Caenorhabditis elegans: one gene and its partners. The protein of the gene in region 1 purifies or fractionates together with the protein of each later gene. This does not show direct contact. Each region holds a gene or a part of one and is shown in the gene's direction. Other genes may lie near its edges. The genes, in order: cox-10, tin-44, cyc-1 and nduf-6.

Evidence for each region.
Region 2: the proteins of cox-10 (region 1) and tin-44 fractionate together in Caenorhabditis elegans (co-fractionation; one large-scale study listed by BioGRID). This does not show direct contact.
Region 3: the proteins of cox-10 (region 1) and cyc-1 fractionate together in Caenorhabditis elegans (co-fractionation; one large-scale study listed by BioGRID). This does not show direct contact.
Region 4: the proteins of cox-10 (region 1) and nduf-6 fractionate together in Caenorhabditis elegans (co-fractionation; one large-scale study listed by BioGRID). This does not show direct contact.

Annotation. Positions count from the first base shown.
Region 1 is NC_003280.10:12,678,221-12,686,004, forward strand, and holds the start of cox-10 (Protoheme IX farnesyltransferase, mitochondrial), read left to right. Parts: upstream 1-1,733; 5' UTR 1,734-1,754; coding exon 1,755-1,856; intron 1,857-1,901; coding exon 1,902-2,013; intron 2,014-3,335; coding exon 3,336-3,443; intron 3,444-3,496; coding exon 3,497-3,562; intron 3,563-3,608; coding exon 3,609-3,714; intron 3,715-4,696; coding exon 4,697-4,821; intron 4,822-5,756; coding exon 5,757-5,959; intron 5,960-6,155; coding exon 6,156-6,291; intron 6,292-7,288; coding exon 7,289-7,476; intron 7,477-7,784. Other genes in the region: Y38E10A.24 (Complex I-B12), read left to right, coding at 816-953, 1,040-1,108; Y38E10A.33 (Nodule Cysteine-Rich (NCR) secreted peptide), read right to left, coding at 1,195-1,257, 1,306-1,371.
Region 2 is NC_003279.8:6,177,421-6,182,500, reverse strand, and holds tin-44 (putative mitochondrial import inner membrane translocase subunit tin-44), read left to right. Parts: upstream 1-1,660; coding exon 1,661-1,742; intron 1,743-1,790; coding exon 1,791-1,957; intron 1,958-2,005; coding exon 2,006-2,086; intron 2,087-2,133; coding exon 2,134-2,283; intron 2,284-2,333; coding exon 2,334-2,397; intron 2,398-2,595; coding exon 2,596-2,659; intron 2,660-2,707; coding exon 2,708-2,793; intron 2,794-3,486; coding exon 3,487-3,579; intron 3,580-3,622; coding exon 3,623-3,717; intron 3,718-3,762; coding exon 3,763-3,834; intron 3,835-3,935; coding exon 3,936-4,259; 3' UTR 4,260-4,491; downstream 4,492-5,080. Other genes in the region: chn-1 (E3 ubiquitin-protein ligase CHIP), read left to right, coding at 803-865; T09B4.3 (uncharacterized protein), read right to left, coding at 4,492-4,696, 4,742-4,869. UniProt on the Caenorhabditis elegans protein: Essential component of the PAM complex, a complex required for the translocation of transit peptide-containing proteins from the inner membrane into the mitochondrial matrix in an ATP-dependent manner.
Region 3 is NC_003279.8:8,022,157-8,026,120, reverse strand, and holds cyc-1 (Cytochrome c domain-containing protein), read left to right. Parts: upstream 1-1,698; 5' UTR 1,699-1,717; coding exon 1,718-1,747; intron 1,748-1,845; coding exon 1,846-2,000; intron 2,001-2,046; coding exon 2,047-2,146; intron 2,147-2,197; coding exon 2,198-2,446; intron 2,447-2,492; coding exon 2,493-2,687; intron 2,688-2,740; coding exon 2,741-2,869; 3' UTR 2,870-3,447; downstream 3,448-3,964. Other genes in the region: C54G4.9 (RAP domain-containing protein), read left to right, coding at 1-220, 270-652, 702-1,142; C54G4.7 (AB hydrolase-1 domain-containing protein), read right to left, coding at 3,644-3,964.
Region 4 is NC_003279.8:7,088,852-7,091,912, forward strand, and holds nduf-6 (putative NADH dehydrogenase [ubiquinone] iron-sulfur protein 6, mitochondrial), read left to right. Parts: upstream 1-1,888; 5' UTR 1,889-1,890; coding exon 1,891-2,031; intron 2,032-2,079; coding exon 2,080-2,259; intron 2,260-2,304; coding exon 2,305-2,406; 3' UTR 2,407-2,510; downstream 2,511-3,061. Other genes in the region: nars-1 (Asparagine--tRNA ligase, cytoplasmic), read right to left, coding at 1-113, 166-638, 685-1,080, 1,123-1,206; prpf-4 (Serine/threonine-protein kinase PRP4 homolog), read right to left, coding at 2,610-2,720, 2,932-3,021. UniProt on the Caenorhabditis elegans protein: Accessory subunit of the mitochondrial membrane respiratory chain NADH dehydrogenase (Complex I), that is believed not to be involved in catalysis. Complex I functions in the transfer of electrons from NADH to the respiratory chain.

The DNA of each region.
Region 1 (7,784 bases):
GATAATCTAACAGGAAAACGCATCAATTCAAGATTTACTCGCTTTCGTTACACCCGTAGACTCCTCTTTTCCTATTGCAATCAAGCAGAATATGGGGGTATAGCTCAGGGGTAGAGCGCTCGCTTTGCATGCGAGAAGTCTGGGGTTCGATTCCCCATACCTCCAAGTAATCTTTTTTGGATTTATATAGTAAAAATTTGAAGGTTTTGATTTTGGTTTTGACCGCTTGAAGTGGACGCTGGTTTTACTTTTTAAAACTTTGCAAGAGCTTATCTATTGAAATTTGTTGAGGAGTTGTTCACAGTCGATTCATTCAATTTTCCAATGATTAAACCATTATTTTTCGCTTGGAAAACCTAACAAAAACTATTTCCACAAAACCCCTATTTGAAAAACCACCCTTTTCACAAACTGCTAAACAACACGCGCCACCGAAATATCGGAGCGTCGTTGTCTCACATTTTATTTGTCGTCGAATTTATTTTCTGCCGGTTTTTAATCGATTTTTCGGGATTTTATTGATTTTTTCTTATTTTTCTTTATTGAAATATTGATAAAATACGTTATTTTTCACCTATAATTCACGTTTAATAGGCGTTAAAGTGAAAGTTATTGAAAATGAATTAAATGAAAATTACGTGGATTTTAAGATTTTTAGAGTCAGTTCTTCATTTTTTCATCTGAAATTTAGTTTCTATAGGAAAATAATGATTTTTCAATAAAAAATCCCTAAAATTGCTGATTTTCCCTTAATTTCTCTTGATTTTCTGTATTTCTCCGAGTTTTCTTTTAAAAAATGCCAGTTTTTTTGCAGAATGGGTACCTTCACCGCCACATATTTCCTCAAGAACGCTTTTTGGGACAAAAGAGGCCTTTGGACTGCCACGTTGGCCGTCGCCTATTTCGCCCGCTGCTGGGAGAGCGCCGGATACAATAAGGCCGAGATGATGAAGGTAAGCGTGCTGAAATCGTGCTGAAAATTCAATTTTTAGCATATTTTAACCTAAAAATCCATAAAACCAATTGATTTTTGTTTCAGGGTCACTCAAAAATGTACGCGGATCGACTCAAGCAGCTTCCAGCACACACCGACGCCTGGAAATACTGAAAATCCCGCCGACTAGATGCTTAATTTAGCGATTTCCTGTGTTTTTTCTCGATTTTTAGTCATAAAGAAAAATTTTAAACATTTTATTATGCTTCAGCACATTCACAAATGCTTTTCTCCGAGCAAATGACACGTTGAGTGGGGCAAAACTGAAAATTTTAGATCGAAACTTGCTAAAATCGGATGAAAGCACTCACCGAGTAGAAAAGAATATTGCATAGAGATTCCCAGCAAAAACCGAATGAAATTGTAGGCGTTATCATGAGGAAAATTGCAAAAATAGATAAAACAGCGGAGAAATTTATTTCCCGAGTGTTTTTCTAGCAGGAAATGAATGTTTAAAGCAATTTTTCACGTTATATTCAAGGGAATGTTTGTTTTCAAAAAGAAATTCTTTGAAAATCGAGAAATTCTCTAGAAATAATATAGAAAATCAAAATTTAGTAAAAAAAATATTAAACTATGATTTAAATGTCCGCCAACAACGATGCTCCGGAATCCCGCCAGCGCGCCTTCTTTACCGTAAATCCACAGCTCTCAACGCCCGAATTTATTTAATTTTTAATCATTTTTCTGTAAAGTTTTCACAGTTTTTCAATCGAATTAATAATTTTTGATTTACCAGACAACTCGGGTCCCCAAAAAAATGCTCAGCAGGCATATATTAATGTGCTCTCGGGTGGGCTTCACGCCGTCGACTAGTCAAGCAGTTTTCCACACTTCCGCAGTAAATTCCGTGCTTCCCAGGGTAAAAGCCGGGTGGAAAAGTAGCTTCATAGCTCTATAATTTCAGGCAAAACCGCTAGACGAGGAAATGCCGTTGGCTTCGCCGAAAAAACCACGTCCAGACACGCAAATTTTAGATTTATCCGGAAAACGACACAAAAAAGATATCGATATAATTGGTAAAATTATTTAAAGGTGGACTGGAGAAATTTCTTTAAAACATGCCTATGGGGTCACAATGACCGAATATGATGATAAAAAAATTCAAAAAAATTTTTCTAGATTTTATATGATTTTTTATATGAAAATTGAAAAAATCACATTTTTCGCCTAGTTATTTTGAATTTCCGCCAATTGAATTCGTTCGTTGGAGCGCGCTTGCATTATTTTTGTTTATTTATTTTATTTATTCTCATTATTTCACTGATTTTCTTCATTTTCTATGTTTTTTCCTCGGAAAATGAAAGAAATGAACAAGTAAAATGAAGAATGATCACTAAAAATTAAAGATTGAGTGGAGTCAAAAAATTTATTTGCTTTAAATGACAGAAAATGCACCCAAATAACCGAATATAACTGTAAAAAGAATTTTAAAAAATTTCTAATTTTTTTATGATTTTTTTAATTTTTCAAAAATCAAAGAAACGGCTGAATAAATTTGAATTCCCGCGCAAATGAGTGACGTCATCTTAGATATTTTCGCGTTTTCTGGCTAAATTCGTCGGGGTTTTTTTTCCATTTTCTCTTCTATATTTGATTTGAAACACCGTTTGTCAATTATTTAACAACTTTCCCGTGAAAAAAAAAACTTGATAACCCTAAGGAAATTGCCAGAAATGTCAAAATTGGCCTAAAATCCGCAATTTAATATTTATTATTAATTTTTTTCAAAATAACTATTTTAAATAATTGACAAACGGTGTTTCAAATCAAATATAGAAGAGAAAATTGAAAAAAAACCCCGACGAATTTAGCCAGAAAACGCGAAAATATCAAAAATGACGTCGCTCATTTGCGCGGGAATTCAAATTTATTCAGCCGTTTCTTTGATTTTTGAAAAACTAAAAAAAACATAAAAAATTTAGGAATGTTTTAAAAATTTTTTAACAGTTATATTCGGTTTTTTTTTTTAACTCTACTCCACCTTTAATTTTTAGTGATCATTCTTCATTTTTCTTGTTTATTTCTTTCATTTTCTGAGGAAAAAACATAGAAAATGAAGCAAATCAGTGAAATATTTAATGAGAATAAATAAAATAAATTTATAAAAATAATGCAAGCACGCTCCAACGAACGAATTCAATTGGCGGAAATTCAAAACTAATTAGGTGAAAACTGAGATTTTTCCAATTTTCAAAAAAAAAATCATATAAAATCTAGAAAATTTTTTGAATTTTTGGAATTTTTTTAATCATGATATTCGGTCATTGTGGCCCCATAGGCATGTTGTAAAGCAATTTTCCCACATTTTTTTTGTTCCAAAAATCATTTTTTTTTTCAGTCGGCGATCAATATCTACAGCAATGGTATAAAATGGAGACTAAAAATCTGGCGGCCGACTATTTGGCGCTTTGCAAGTCAAAATTGAGTCTTTTCGTTGCTTCTACAGGTTTAAAAACTGGTTTTTCAAGCTAAAAACTAATGAAATTCGAATTTTTCCAGCTACCTGTGGAGTTTTAATGGCGCCAGTGCCAGTTGCCGCTGACTCGCTGATCGCCGCCACTGTTGGTGGGTTTTTGTGCAAATTTACCCGCGAAAAAAGTGCAGTTTTCAGGCACATTTCTGCTCTCATCGGCTGCAAATGCGTGTAATCAACTGCTAGAGGCTCCGTATGATGCACAAATGAGAAGAACACAGACGAGAGTTTTAGTTGTGCATAGGTGCGGGTTTGGACGGTTTTTGGAAGAAAAAATATTGAAAAATCCGAATTTTTCAGCAAAAAACCAAAAACCTCATGAAAAATCACAAAATTCTTTGAAATTTTCAAGAAAAAACCTTAATTTCTAAATTTCTCTCAAAAAAATCATTGAAAAATCATAAAAATGGCTCCAAAAAGCTTGAAAAACGCATTTTTCAAACTAAAATCTCGCGAAATATGCCTATTTTGTCACTTAAAAAACTAGAAAAATCCAATTTTTCCAATTAAAAATCAATTAAAAAACCAAAAACCTTTTGAAAACTCACAAAATTCTTTAAAATTTTCTAAAAATCCCTTAATTTCTCAATTTCTCCCAAAAAATCACTGAAAAATCATAAAAATTGCTCCAAAAAGCTTGAAAAACGCATTTTTCAAGCAAAATCTCAAAAAATTTGCCGTATTTCGCTTGAAAAACCACGAAAATTTGTTTTTAAAAAATTTTAAAAGTACATTTTTTAAAAATACAAAACATTTTATCAAAATAAAAACCAAAAAAAAACACTTTTTAATTAAAAAAAATCCCATTTTTCCAATAAAAAATCGGCGAAAAATGCAAAAAGGTTCAAAAAGCCTATGAAAAATCACAAAATCCTTCAAAATTTTTAGAAAACCCCGATAAAATCGCCGAAAAATCTTAAAAATTGGCCCGAAAAGCTTTAAAAACGCATTTTCTAAGCTAAAAACTCGTAAAATTGGCCGTTTTCTCCCTTAAATGCGTGTAATCAACTGCTAGAGGCTCCGTATGATGCACAAATGAGAAGAACACAGACGAGAGTTTTAGTTGTGCATAGGAAAATCCGAATTTTTCAGCATTTTCTATGGAAAAATACCAAAAATTGAATTTTATAGCATAAAATGCGAATTTTCCGTGGAAAAACTGAAAAATAGCTCCAAAAAATGAATTTTTTATTGAAAAAACACCAAATTTTCATGAAAACTTCCAGATTCTCTCCACTTCACGCCTTCACGTTTGCCGGAGTCACTGGGCTCACTGGAATCGGGCTTCTCGCGTATTATGCGAACCCGTTGGCTGCGGCTCTTGGAGCTCTTAACTGGTTTATTTATGCAGGTGCTGGCTAAGATTGAGGAAAACGTTGATTTTTTTGAAATTTGAATTTTAAGCTGAAAAAAAACGTGATTTTCGGAAAAAAATCTCGAAAAATTGGCCTTTTTTCACTCAAAAACTATGAAAATTGATGAAAATTCACTGAATTTCCAGTTTTTTTTTTAAATAAAAACCAATTTTTTCACTGAAAAAACTGAACAAAAAAGGCGAAAAGCTTCAAAAAAAACCTATAAAAAATTGAAAAAATCTTTAAAATTTTCCTTGAAAACCCCGATAAAATCGCTGAAAAAAGTAAAAAAAACGCATTTTCCATTCAAAAACTCGAAAAATTTGGCATTTTTCATTCAAAAATCCATCAAAATTTATAAAAATTCGCTGGATTTCCAGTTTTTCAAAAAAAAAAAAGAAATCAATTTTCTCGATAAAAAACCGAAAAAAAAAATACATTTTTGAATCTGAAAAATCTGAAAAAAAAAAAAGCAAAAAGCTTCAAAAACCTCTGAAAAATCACAAAATTCTTGAATAAAAAGTTGAAAATTGCTCCAAAAAGCTTTAAAAGACGCATTTTTCAATCCAAAAAATCGCAAAATTTGCCGTTTTTCACTCGAAAAACTGGAAAAATTCAATTTTTCCAATTAAAAATGAAAAAATGAATGCAGACTGCTTCAAAAAATCTAATTTTTTTGCCATTTTTTTCACTTTAAAACTAGAAAATTTATTTAAAAAATTTTTAAAAAAAAATTCATTTCTTGAATAAAAAACAATTTTTCAATTTCTCTCAAGAAAAAACCCTGAAAAAAACATAAAAATTGCTCCAAAAAACGTTTAAAAAACGCATTTTTCAAGCAAAAAAATCGCAAAATTGGCCGTTTTTTCCTTTAAAAAACTAGAAAAATCTAATTTTCCTTTATAAAAATGTCGAAAATTCAAATTTCCAGGCGTCTACACTCCGATGAAACGTTCTCATATCGGATGCACATGGGCCGGAGCCGTAGTTGGAGCAATTCCACCACTAATGGGATATGCTGCAGCCACCGGGTACCTGGATCCGGCTGCCTGGTGCCTGGCAACTATTCTTTTTTCATGGCAATTTCCACATTTTAATGGTCTTAGCTGGAATTTGAGAGGCGATTATAGTAAGGTAATTGTCTAAAAAATAGTTTAAAAATTGTAATTTTTCAAGAAAAAAATCGTTAAAAAATTGCAATTTTTCAAGAAAAAAGAGTTGAAAATTGAAAAAATTTCAAATTTTTCCAAAAAAAAAAATCACGAAAAAATTCCATTTTTTTCTGAAATTTTTAACTGAAATTTAACAAAAATTTAAATATTTTTTCCAGGCCGGCTACCGCGTAATGTGTGTGACAAATGAGCGGTTGTGCCGTGTGACGTCACTTCGTCACAGTGTTGCTCTACTCGGATTGTGCTCCATCGCTGCTCCGCTTACAGACTTGACAACGCTCACCTTTGCTATAGGTGCTGAAAATTTTGGATAAAAAACACGAAAAAAAATCAGATTTTTAACCTAAAAATCGAAAAAATTTCACTTTTTTTGTGTTTTTCGAGAGAAAAAACCGAAATTTCCATGATTTTTTGTCAAAATTTGAAATAAAGTGCCAAAACTACGGTACCCGGGTCTCGACACGACAATTTTTCGTGAATTTCGAAAAGGTTTGCGCCTTTAAAGAGTACTGTAATTTCATTTCTATCGATTTTTCGCTAAAAATGCATTTTTTTAATGGAAAACAAAGTAAAATCAATTAAAATCTGCAGAAACAAAAAGTTGAAACTACAGTACTCTTTAAAGGCGCAGACTATTTCGAGTTTAATCAAAAATTGTCGACTTTTAGTGAAAAAATTGTCGTGTCGAGACCCGGTACCGTATTTTTGGCGAAAAAATTGAAAAAAAGAACATCGAAATCAGTGAAAATAATGATTTTAACTAAAAAATCCACAATTTTTCGCCAAAAATAATACGGTACCAGGTCTCGACACGACAATTTTTTCACTAAATTCGAAAAGGTATGCGCCTTTAAAGAGTACTGTAGTTTTAAACTCTGACAATTTTCATCATCGATTTTCAACGTTTTTTGCTAAAAATATTTTTATTTAATGAAAAACTATGGAAAGTTTTAAAACAAAAATTTTAAACTACAGTACTCTTTAAAGGCACTCACATTTTCGCGTTAAACAAAAATTGTCGTGGTGAATCCCGGTACCGTATTTTTGGAGCAAAATTGTGAATTTTTTGTTCTTAATATCATTATTTCAATGATTTTGTGCTAAAATCCTCAATTTTTTGAATTTCAGTTTTAAAATATGGTTTCAAAATAAATTATTGCAATTTTAAAAAAAAATCGGGAAAAAAATTGATTTTTTATCGAAATTTTCGATTTTTTTTGCACTAAAAGTTGCCCAAAAACCACGAAAATCCTCCAAAAATCCCTAAATAAAATTCCGAAAATTTTTCCAGATTCTCTTCCAGTGAACGCGTACCTCGTCTACCTATCCTACAAATTCTACAAGGCTCCCGACGCGAAAAACAGTCGAAAATTGTTCTTCTACTCACTGTTACATCTGCCGCTGGTCATGTTACTGATGGGAATTAGTAATTATGGACGAAATGAGCAGCAAAAAGAGCACATTTCGGATCGAATTTCGGTAGAATTTTGTGGAAAAATATTTTCAAAAATTAATTTTTTTTCAAAAATTAAAAAAAAAATTAATTTTGAAAAAAAAAACTTTTAAAAAAATAGCAAAACAGAGGAAAATTATCGTTGAAGTATTTTAAATTTTAATTTTTTTGAAAAAATTAATTAATTTTTAATATTTAGGTAAATTTTCAAAAAAAAAAATTAGGATTAAAGTTCTAGAAAATCGCAAAAAATTTGATTTTTTTGAGTTTTTTAAATTAAATTTTTTTTTAGAAAAACCTAAAAATCACCTAAAAATTCGAAAAAAAAATCAAT
Region 2 (5,080 bases), on another chromosome or scaffold:
GACCTTTATGGCACGCAAGTCGGCATTCTGCGGGATTTCTACATTTTTCTCGAGGAATCCATCAAGTGCCTTACAAGTTTTTATAGTTCAAAGAATGCTCTTGGTCTAGAGATTCTATAAAAACAAAAATCCAAATAATTTCTATCACGGTATTTCTGTCATGGACTGCGGCAGTAGGTTAAGTCTTGAATGGCATAGTCGCCAGAAAGATGGATGTGAGCGGCGAGTAGCAGTATGCAGAAAAATTCATTTTAGTATTTTTCGAGACGTTTTGACCTGACTTTCCAGAATTTTTTTAGAAAATTGAGCTCGGATGATTTTGTGGGACGTTACGCCTTGCGAAACCAAAAAAACTGAGTAAATTTCGCAAAGTTGAATTCATGAAATATTCAAAGGTTCTTGCTAGGCGCCAGTGTCGACACAGAAAATTTTTATATGCCACAAAAACAATTAAAAACGCTTCTTCACTTCTTTAACTTTAAATTTAACATAAAAATCATACATCTGAAAATTATTGGCGTGCATGGGAGGTGTGTTTGTGTGGGAAGTGCCGCGTGCCAAATTACCGTTTTTTCGAAAGGGTTCGCCAAATTGTCGAGGTGATAAAGATCGCACCTTATTGGGAAACATTACAAATTTTGAGTCAAATTGAAGGAAATTTATTCAGCTATCAGTATTCGATAGAAGAATGTACGTATGACGTGGCAGTCACGCGAAAAGCTCATGTAAAAGAGCGCTTCATGTGTTACCATACTTTTGGCCCACCCTGTAATAAATTCAGTTAATTTCTAATGATTTTCAGGTTATTGAAAAGTTTCTTGACGACAACCCATGGGCTAAATATGAACCCGGAGGCATGGTTTAAATACTATTCAGAATATTGAAAAATTCAACATTAAACATTCCTGGCTGCTTCTCAATGCAACTTCTTCACTTTTCTACATGTTTCAGTTCTTTGCATTTTTTTTTCGGATTTTTAAACTTTTATTGTTTGAACGCTGTACCCTCCTTTTCTGTTCTACCGGTATTTGTATCTTGGTGTATTTTTTAGCTTTAGTTTTCTTTCAAAATTCCATTGAATTTCTGGTAGAAAGTGCACTTCAACTTGTCGCTTAGTTCTCAATTTTACTGCTAAAAGTGAGATTCTGTAAATATTGTATGAAATAAAGAGGTGTGATGCTTTTCTTTTCATTTTACAATTTTTTTTATACCAATAGGAAGGTCTATAACCTACTATCTACGTGACTTTGTAAATAAAATAAATAAAATCGGGAAGTTTTCAAAATTGCATCACTGGGAGTGCGGGATTGCGGAGTGTCGTTGTGAAATTTAGACGGCATTTTTTTCCGTTTTTTCAATTTCGAAGCTGTTTAAGCTGAATTCTGTTCGAAAATTTGTTGAAATAAAATGCAAAAAAGAATTTTTGTTCACAAAAAATGGTTATTTTCATTCTCCGGGCATTATTATTTTTGTTTGCAGAGTTTTAGAATAACTGTTTAAAAATCCTTGATGTTTAGATCTGAAAAGCTTTCAATGGTTCAGAAGAAATTATAATTAAACCGAAATTAATTAATTAAATTTATTATTTGAATATTTCCCGCACAAGTTCCATTCTTGCCTCTTCTTTATTGAACTTATAATGTGAAAAATTATTCTTCAGATGTTGTCACGAATTTGTGGAAACGGGATACGATTAACTCGGACAAGACTTCAATTTCAGCCATCTATTGTTACTTTCAGAGGTAGGCAATGTCTATAGGTTTTCATTTCTAACTATTTCCAACTTTCAGACTACAGTAATCCAGCGCCAAAACGTGGATTTTTGAATAATCTGATTGATAATGTACGAGATGAAATGCAGAAAAACAAAGAACTTCAGGAACATCAACAACAGTTGAAAGCTCGAATGCAGGAATTAAATGAGTCAGATGCATTGAAAGATGCCCGAAAAAAATTTGTTCGTATTTTTTTGGAGTTTAAAAAAAATTAATTTTTTAAATTTCAGGAAATTGTGGAAAAAGAAACATTGAAAAGCTCGGAAGTTGTTAAACAAAAAATTGAAGAACTCAGTGATCACATGAAAAAGGTTTGGATTATAGTGACCATTTTAAATTAAAAAATACTTTATTTCAGATGGTGCACGAAATTCAAAAAACTGAGGCTGGAAAAAAGATGACCGAAGCAGGAGCAGAGGCTCTTAAACAAGCACGAAAAGCCGCAGAACACGTCGAAAAAGTTGCAGAGAAAGTTGGAGATACAGAAGTTTATAAGCATGTTTCCACTGTAAGAGTTTGCATTCAGAAGTCACACTTAATAATTTTTTCGAATTTCAGTCAATGAAAACTGTGAAAGATGAAATTGACAATATTGCCGATGTCAGAATGTATAGTAGACCAGGTATGCCAATTTTTTTTAATTCAAAAAAAAAGCAAAAAATCAATTATTTTTCAAAAAAGTTTAAACAAAGTTTTCTAATAAAGAGAATTCTGGTTAAAAAAGTGGCACTTTACTAATGTTTTTGTGAATCAGAAAATATATCAATTTTGTTGTTATAAAAGATCGTAGATTTAAAAAATTAATACAAAAATTTTTCAGAAGCGCTCACAAAACGGACAGATGGGTTCGATTTGGAGAAAGAACGGGTCGTAGAAGCCAATGAGTTCGTTTTTCTTTATTACGATTTTTTCTAATTTTTTACTATTTTCAGCTCAGCTACCGATGTAACTCTGCACAAAGATTCAAAATGGTATTCAGGATGGAAAAACTTTTCAGAATCAAATACTTATTATCACAGTGAGTTTTATGTTAAATATTTGAAAAAAAATGGTTACGAAAAGTTCGAGTCCAAAAGAGGTGAAAACTCAGGTTTCACCAATTTTTTTTTGTGAGTCGTCTATAAAAGACAATTTTGTTCCTATTTTATTTCTGTTGTGTTCAAAATATTCATAGATATTCCGAAATTGTAGTGGTTCAAGCATGTTAAAATGTTTAAATACCTTCAAAAACGTCGCAAATTCAATTTCACCACTTTGACTCGAAATAAAAATAAACTTATGATATGTAGTAATTTTTAACATCTGTGTTTTTTACCTTGATTCCATTTTACCTTTATTTAGCATTTTTCTCAGATATTTTCTCTCAAAACATTATTCTGTTGAGGTCAATTTCAATTTAGTGGTATTTGCGGACCGATAAGTAGTTTGAAACGGCACGTTTTACGTCTGGGCAGGACGAATATCCTCTCTTTCCGGCCTCGCCCCGTCCGTCTATGGAGGGTACTTAATTTTTTCGAGAATTTTCAATTTTCCTCACCCATTGGATGCAAATTTTTGGGCTCAACAATTTTTTCAAATTCAACAAATTCAAATTCAACATTCCAAACAAAAACAAAAAAAAATTCCGTTGAAAAAATAAATTAAGAAAAAGGGGAAATGTCGTAGAATGGGTTACTGTACTACTAAAAGGCCTTCATTAAAATTTTTGTAGAACTTCTCGACTGGAAAATCAAGTACGATGAGTCGGATAATATGGCAGTACGTATGATGAGAGGTGTAACGGAAAAAATTGGAAGTGTTTTCTGTAAGTTAATCTTTAAATTACCACATTTCATAAACAATTTCAGCTGGCCAAAATGAGGTTTCCGAAGTTCTCACCGAAATTCACAAAATTGACGCCAATTTCGACAAACAAGAATGGCTCAGGTTCTGCGAGACAAAGGTATCGCGAATTTTTGGAAATTTCATATAAATATATTCTATTCAGATTATTCCAAATATTTTGGAAGCTTTCATTCGTTTCGATCTTGAAGTTTTACAATCATGGTGCCATGAAAGGGTGAGTTTTTTTTAATTAGAAAATTGAGTGAATTGTGCATTGGATTCTAGAAAACACCGAAAAACGGGTAGTCTTAATCCTAATAAATTTTTTTTTTCCAGGCCTACACACAGCTATCAACAGTCGTCAAAGAGTATCAGAAAATGCATTTTAGCACAAAAGATTCTCGGATTATTGATATCAATAAAGTAGAAATGGCAACTGGAAAAATGATGGAACAAGGCCCAGTTTTGATTATTTCATTCCAAGTGTACATGATCAATGTGACAAAAAATGCCGATGGAAAAGTTGTTGAAGGAGATCCAGATAACCCGAAACGTATTAATCATATCTGGGTTCTCTGTCGAGATGTTGAAGAATACAATCCGGCACTTGCGTGGAAACTTCTTGAAGTGCACATGCAAGAAACTCCTCTTGCTCTTTAAAATTTCGTCTTTCTCAGTGTCCTAATTAAATCTCAACTTTTTCTTTTATAACTCCCCGTATTTTCATAGTATATTTCCTTTTTTTAGGCTAGATTGTTTCCTTTTTTGTTTTTTATTTTCATCTTTGTTACCTGAACGGGTGCATTTCTCTTCCTGTTGTCTTCTTTGTCTACAGATTTCTTTCGACTCAAAAAATGTTTATTTCCGTCAATTGGAATGATAATAAAAAAGTTCAATTCGGAGCGAAGATTTCGATACGGACTTTTCCACTTTTTGAGATGGAATGAACGTGCGCGAAGACAGTGTAATATTTCAGAAGGCTTTTGATTGTTGAGAAAATCGGTTCAGATGAGGACTTCTTCGAAGGATCAGAGGTGCCAACTTGGTAGAAGATTCGATTCGACACTGCACTTTTTGTTTTAATGATTGGATAATGCCTGAAAAGGCCCTATTATTTTTTGAACGAAATTTTCAACGAATACTCATGATGACGGCGGCTATTCAAATAACAGATGTAAAGGTCCAATGAAATGTTTGAATCTTTTGGTGGCTTCAGAGAGATCCCATCAATTAGGTAATACGTGAAAAATTGTCCACGTTCAGTAGTTTCCTGAAAATTGTTTCTATACTTTCAATTTTAAAAAATGTTGTCAGAAGACATTTCATTCGGGCTCTTTCCTCATGATGAGAATTCTGTTTTGCAATTTTTACCAAAAATACAGTACTCGGTCTCGACGCGAAAATTGTTTTTTTTAACTCGATACGGTGAGCGTCTTTAAAGAGTACTGTAATTTTCAACTCTTCAGTGGCGCTACATTTTT
Region 3 (3,964 bases), on another chromosome or scaffold:
TGGAAACAAATCGAGTCTGCGAAAAATACTGAAAAAATCGAAATTCTCGCAAGAAGAATGACTGCAAATTGTAGAATTCTGAGGTTATCTGGAGCTCCGAAAAGATTTCTTGAAAAATTACTCAAGGATGTTATAATATCGCTCAATGCAAATAAGGTCAACATTCCCATGAAATTTCTAAATGAGCTCGCTATTGTTTCTCCCTTTCATCCTATCCTCGGTAAGAGCAGTTGTAGAATTAAATTTCAATTGAAAAATGCGTATTTCAGTGATCGAAGATTTCAAGAAGGACTCCGAATATTTTTATATTCCACACGTTGTTTCAGAAGAGACCCGATTCCATTTGGAAGTGAAAGAGTTCACAAATTTCTTTCAAATTGAATCAACTTATCACAAAGAACAAGCATGTCAGATGCTTCAAGTGTTTAATCAGATTTACAAACGAATGGAGCTTATCCCTCAATTGGAAGCTCCCGAAATTGATAAAATTGTAGAATTTTGGCTTGCTGCTCTTCGAATATTCAATGGATATGGAATTGGGATGAACGACATAACAGAATCAGCCAAGCTTTTAGAGAAAACAGCTTCTAGATATTCTCTCAAAAGCAGACCTCTGTTTCTGAAGCATTTTCTTAAAAAAATTTCCGAAAAGGTTTGATTTCTGTTGGTGTATTTTTAAAGATTAAAAATTTCTCATTCAGAAAGATACAAATATTGGTTTGGAACCGCAAGTTGTTGCAACCATCATCACAACTTACCAGCGAAATGCATTCGGCCTCAGGTCACCTGAATTTTATGAAGAACTTGGTGAATTTTGGGCACTGTGTTTGAAGATTAAATACGATGACGTTTATTTTGCAACTGTCTACTTCTCTGCTGTGTTCGCACTAGCTCAGGCACAAGCAGTTTTCAAAATTAAAAAAGAGCTCTGTCGTGAAGTTTACCATAAGATTCTTCAACCGATGCACGAGCAGCTTGTCGACTTTGTCAAGCTGAAACAAGTTGAATCCAATAAAGCTACGAGTGAGGAAGAAGTAATGCGCCTGGAGCACCAAAATATCGGCGCAAGCTACTTTTCCATTTTGACATGCACCTACAAAAATGCTGAGGATCGGATTTTGGAGTTTATGAAAGAAAATTAGCCGACGAGTATTTTTGAAACATACTTTCCTTATTTTTTCAATTGGTCTTTCATTTGAATATCTATTTTCTTTGATAAATTAATAAAAAAACTTCTCTTCGCTCTTTTTTTTTATTCCAAAAAGCTGTAATTAAGTTATTTTCAGGAAAGAAAAATTATCTTTAAACTGTTTTTGAGCTTTCTTTTATTCTACGATAAGGTTGCAGACATCGTTATAAAAGTGGATACGCAGGTCTCACAAGAAGTGCGCCAGCACCAGGCGGGCACATTTCTCGATGCTGGCGCGTTTCTAGATGACCGTGCTGTACAAGATTTTCTTTTTCTTTAATTTTTCAGTTGTTTTTTGTTAATTTATTCAATTTCCGGGTTCATTCACGTCAGAATAATTTTACTGGATAGATTTCCAATTCGGATAAATTGAACCTTCAATTTTTAAGCAATTCCGTTGCTGGAGTTGATTTAAATTAGGAAATTGATGAATAAAATTTATGCAATGTTCACACGTTCAATTCTTTTTTAAAACAAATTTAGTGAAATAAATTAAACGAATTTTATAGGTAATCGACGTGGTACGTAATGCAGCGTGCCGTGGTTCAAGGATCTAAAGTAAGTTTTATGTCCTTTCTATTCAAAAACTCCAATTATTATTAGAAGACAATAATTTATGTTGAAATAAACAGTGAATTAATTATCGTATTTTTCAGCGTGGATTGGCGGCCCTTGCCGGAGTCACAGCCGCTTCAGGCATGGGACTCGTTTACGCTTTGGAGAACTCGGTCAGCGCTAGCGGAGACAACGTTCACCCGTACGCTTTACCATGGGCTCACAGCGGACCGTTCTCTTCATTCGACATTGCTTCGTAGGTTCAATTGAGTTTGGATAATGATAAATCGTTCATGTTTCAGTGTACGACGTGGATACGAAGTATACAAGCAAGTGTGCGCAGCTTGCCACTCGATGAAATTCTTGCATTACCGTCATTTCGTTGACACAATCATGACTGAGGTAATTTGAATAAAATAATAACTTCATGCTAATCACGACTTTTTTTTAAAGGAAGAAGCTAAAGCCGAGGCCGCTGACGCTCTTATTAATGATGTTGACGATAAGGGAGCATCCATTCAGCGCCCAGGAATGCTGACCGATAAGTTGCCAAACCCATATCCAAACAAGAAGGCCGCAGCGGCTGCCAACAACGGAGCTGCTCCACCAGATTTGTCATTGATGGCTCTTGCTAGACACGGAGGAGATGATTACGTTTTCTCTCTTCTTACTGGATATCTTGAGGCTCCAGCTGGAGTGAAGGTATTTCGTGCACACAATTGAAAGGAATTAGTGAAACATTTTTCAGGTTGATGACGGAAAAGCTTACAATCCATACTTCCCAGGAGGTATCATCTCTATGCCACAACAATTGTTCGACGAAGGAATTGAGTACAAGGACGGAACACCAGCAACAATGTCTCAACAAGCTAAGGATGTTTCTGCATTCATGCACTGGGCCGCAGAGCCATTCCATGACACCAGAAAGAAGTGGGCTCTTAAGGTAATTCATTTTAGAAAATATTATATACAAGTGAATAAACTTTAATAATTTAGATCGCTGCTCTGATTCCATTTGTGGCTGTTGTGCTGATCTACGGAAAGAGACATATCTGGTCATTCACGAAGTCGCAGAAATTCTTGTTCAAGACGGTCAAGGGAAGAGAGCCACCAAAGGCTCAGTAATCACCAGCTTTCCGCTATTTTTTCATTATCCTCTTCATTCGTCCGCAATTTCCATCAGCGATCATTTGCTCGCAATTTCATAAAATATTGTGAGATTAATCGTTTGTAAATTTAATGAAATTGCGAGTATTTGTAACCCTCCTCTCCTAGTTCATTTTTTCACAGCCTCCATCCCCTCAAAAAAAAAGAACGCGCTCTCCCTCGATCCGACCGTCGTAGTCACCAAAATTTTCAAATTGGGGACGACGTCGGGAGCCGTTTAGAAAAATTTAGTTGTCGCCGTTGTTTGTTAATTGTGAAAATAAAATGGAGAGTTTAGTATGAGTATTTTTCCATTTTCTGAGAGTTTTTGCTGTATTCGAAATAGTCAGACTCCTTTTTAAACTAAAAAGCTCACGAACTTTTTCGATGCATCATTACTTTCTCGAATATTTTTTTTATATAGGAAATCTCTTATCCGTTTTTTTTTCTCTGTAACCACGTTTTTATACCTTCTTTTCTTTTCCAATAAACCAAATAATGGTAAAACGTCGACATTTATTTTTAGTGTGGAGACGAATAAAGTTTTAAATTATAAATCGCATATGGAGATCATGTTTGTAGAATTTGGTTGAAAAATGTTCATTACCGACATAGTTCTATTTTATGAAAAGGCACACTGAGAAAGAGAAACCGGTAATGTCAAAATAGAGACAATCTCAAATTTGGCTATGGGAGTTCTAGTATCACAAGAAGAAACGGAAAATCAAAATTCTAGTAAAAATGCAAATTATTTTAAATTGTTTTCTGCTGTTGCCGTCTGAGCAATTCGGTTATTCTTCGACGCCAAAGATCATGTTTCGATAGATATGCTGTAACATGTCCATATCCTTCCATCATTTCAACAGTTACATTAGGCCATAATTGTTGATATGTTGGTGTCCCTTGATTTCGCAGTACATATTGATCCTGATCAGCCAAGAATACATGGCATAGTGATGTGTCTATTGGTGTTGGATAGAATTCAAGACTTGTGAAGTCATCCATCAAAATTCTCATCATATTCTTGGCTTCTGAATCACCGTTTCTCGCAGTCATCTCTCGCATTTTATCCAG
Region 4 (3,061 bases), on another chromosome or scaffold:
CACAAACAAGAGCCTCAATGCGATCCATAAGTTGATCGAAAGTGATAAAAGCGCATTCAGCCTCAACGTGTTGATACTCTGACAGATGGCGACGAGTTCTCGATTTTTCGGCTCTGAAATTTATTTTTGAATACTAGTGTTCTAAAAAAATGTCAAAAAACCTACCTGTACGACTGTGAAATACAATAAACATCACCAAGAGCAGCATTGCAAGTCTCCAAATAAAGTTGAGAAGATTGTGTCAAGTATGCAGGCTCTCCATAATAATCAAGCCCAAAGAGAGTGGAACCACCCTCAACTTGTGTTTGCACCAAAGTTGGAGGAGCAACTTCAGTATATCCAGCAGCAAAGAAATGATCTCTCATTGCACGAGTAGCTGCAGCGCGAATACGAAGAATTCTTGATGCATTCTCTCCACGGATGACAAGGTGGCGGTTATCAAGCATCACATCGACTCCAGCGCTTTCGTTGAGAACGTTGTCAATTCCTCCAGCTGGTGCTTTGCCAATAACCTCCCAATAGTCAACGGTAAGCTCGTGACCATCAGGAGCGGATTTTCCATCGGGAAGTGCCTTGATAATTCCATAAACTTGAACAGAAGTCTCTGTTGAGAGAGTAACAGCATCATAACTTTGACACTGGAAAACGAAACGATTATAGTTGATCTTTGAAACTATTTCATACCAACTTATCGTTCAAAACACATTGAAGGAATCCATAACCGTCTCTAAGAACAAGGAACATGAGTGACTTTCCTTGACGACGAAGACGATGTACCCAGGCTTTGATTGAGACTCGTTGATCGCGATGCTGCACAGATTCTCCAATCTTGATAACCTTAGCTTCTGGAAGAGACTTGTCAAGAGAAAATGTAATCTTCTTGGCTTCTTCGAGAGCAGCATGTTGAGCCTCTTCGGCTTCTTTCTCCCTACAACCAGCTTTCTCCAGCTTTTTCACTTCAGCTTCGTATTTTTTCACTGCCTTTTTGATAGCAGCTTTCGCTGCTGGTTCCCACGATTCCCCTTCCTCTGACTTTTTCTTCATCAAGAACTCGCCCGAGTTTTTCGAAATAAGCATAGCCTGAAAAGTTTGTTTTTAGCAACTATATTTTTGTGTGCTAACCTGAACCAAAGTAGCCAATGGCTGAGCTTCTGTTCCGGGATGCTGATCAGATCCAGCATCGGTATCGATGTAAAGCTTGGACATGTCGACTGTAAATTAAGATATTTATGAAACAGTATACGGAGTTCCTAAAAGTTATTTTAAAATGTAGCAGAACTGAGCACAGAAAGTTACATTTAACGAAACAGAGATGAATAAATGTTTACTCATTCATTTTGAAAGACACACTAATCTGTACATTATAAAAAAGTAAAGAATTGGGAAAATCTGACGAAAATTCCAACAAAAGTGAGATTGTGCAATCGCACGAAACTGTCGTCAAGTTCAGTGTTTGCGTACTCCCCTGTCTTAACTCTTACTTTAAATTTATGCCTCCCTAGCTGAAAATCAAATCAATTTTAGACAATCTTAGAATAAACATGTATCCTATTTAAAATTTGACGGGTCAAATTAATTTATTCGTTCACAAATCACTCAGAAAACGATGTGGAAGATTCATTACGGTGCACAATGGTAATTCGTGTTTTTGACGCAAGCATTTCATTTGACGCCAAGTTGCGGGCGTTGAGAAACATCTTTTTAATTGACGTCAAATTTGTTTGAAAACAGATGATTAACAACAATTTGTCTAGTTTAAGTATAAAACAATGTTTGTTCATGTTTTATAAAGAAGGAAATTGTTACGGTTTTTACAATTATTTCTTCGTTGCTCTTTTATATTGAATTCAAAGTTGTATCGATTAATCATAATCACTGTTTGGTTTAGTAATGAACCGGCTTCTTCAACAGTCGGTTTCACGCGGACCTCTTGCCGTCCGAGCTTCTTCTACAATTACAACAAAGCCACCAACTCCGAATCAAATTACCAAAAACAATGCACAATTCGACAAGGTGACTCACACCGGACAAGTAAGTGTTTCTTATATAACTTTTCAAATAAAATAAGCACATTTTCAGGCGTGGGATCAATCTGATTATCGTCTTCAAAGATTTGATATTTCGAAGAAAAGCGTCAATCCAAATGTAGCAATGCATCTTATTGATCAACGCCCTCCAGAGGATTGCGGGGATAAGAGAGTTGTCTTCTGTGATGGAGGACATCCAGCTCTTGGACATCCGAAAGTATACATCAACCTTGTTAGTTTTTTTTTAACTTTTAATGTCACACTTTAATTTTTTCAGGACAAACCAGGAGTTCATGCTTGCGGATATTGTGGAAACCGATTCTATAACTCGCACGCCACGAAGGCAGAGGACATGAAGATCCAACACCTCAACTGCTAATTTGTCTAGCCTCTTGGTTTTATTTTTTAGTATGTATACAAAACAAGTAGCGAATTTACAATCATTTTCATTTAAAATTTCCATAATGAATCGAAAGATAACAAAAAATTTGCTGTCGAGGAATATGTATTTAAATATAGCATACATACAATCGAAATAGGAGAAGAGAAATTAGAGATCACCGAAAAAATTTGGGAAATGTATTATTTGATAGGTATGGTGAAGAATGGGTGTTTGAGAGCCTCATTGCAGGTTGTTCGTTTGCTTGGATCAAGAATCAGCATTCCATCGAGCAAAGTTCGGAACGCTTGTATCTGTGAAAATAAAAATGTAGTCATTATCCAATCAGCCATATCGAGAAAATTAACCGAAGATGAGCACCGCTAATGACATTTTATTTTCGCTCTTATAAAATCTCCATTCCAGAAAATTAACAAAGTGGAGAGGAACATAGAGCGGGGGTGAACCAGGGACATTTGGGTGGTCGACAATAGTCTAACCAGCTGCACTATAAGGTACACTAACCTGATCCATTTGGTCTCTGCTCAAACGTTGCCCGGCAATCAATTCTGATTCCAAATCGCGTGTCGGTTTCAAATTTGCAAGAACAGTAATCTGAAAACATAAAAATGTAAATACTTTGAGTTTTCAAATA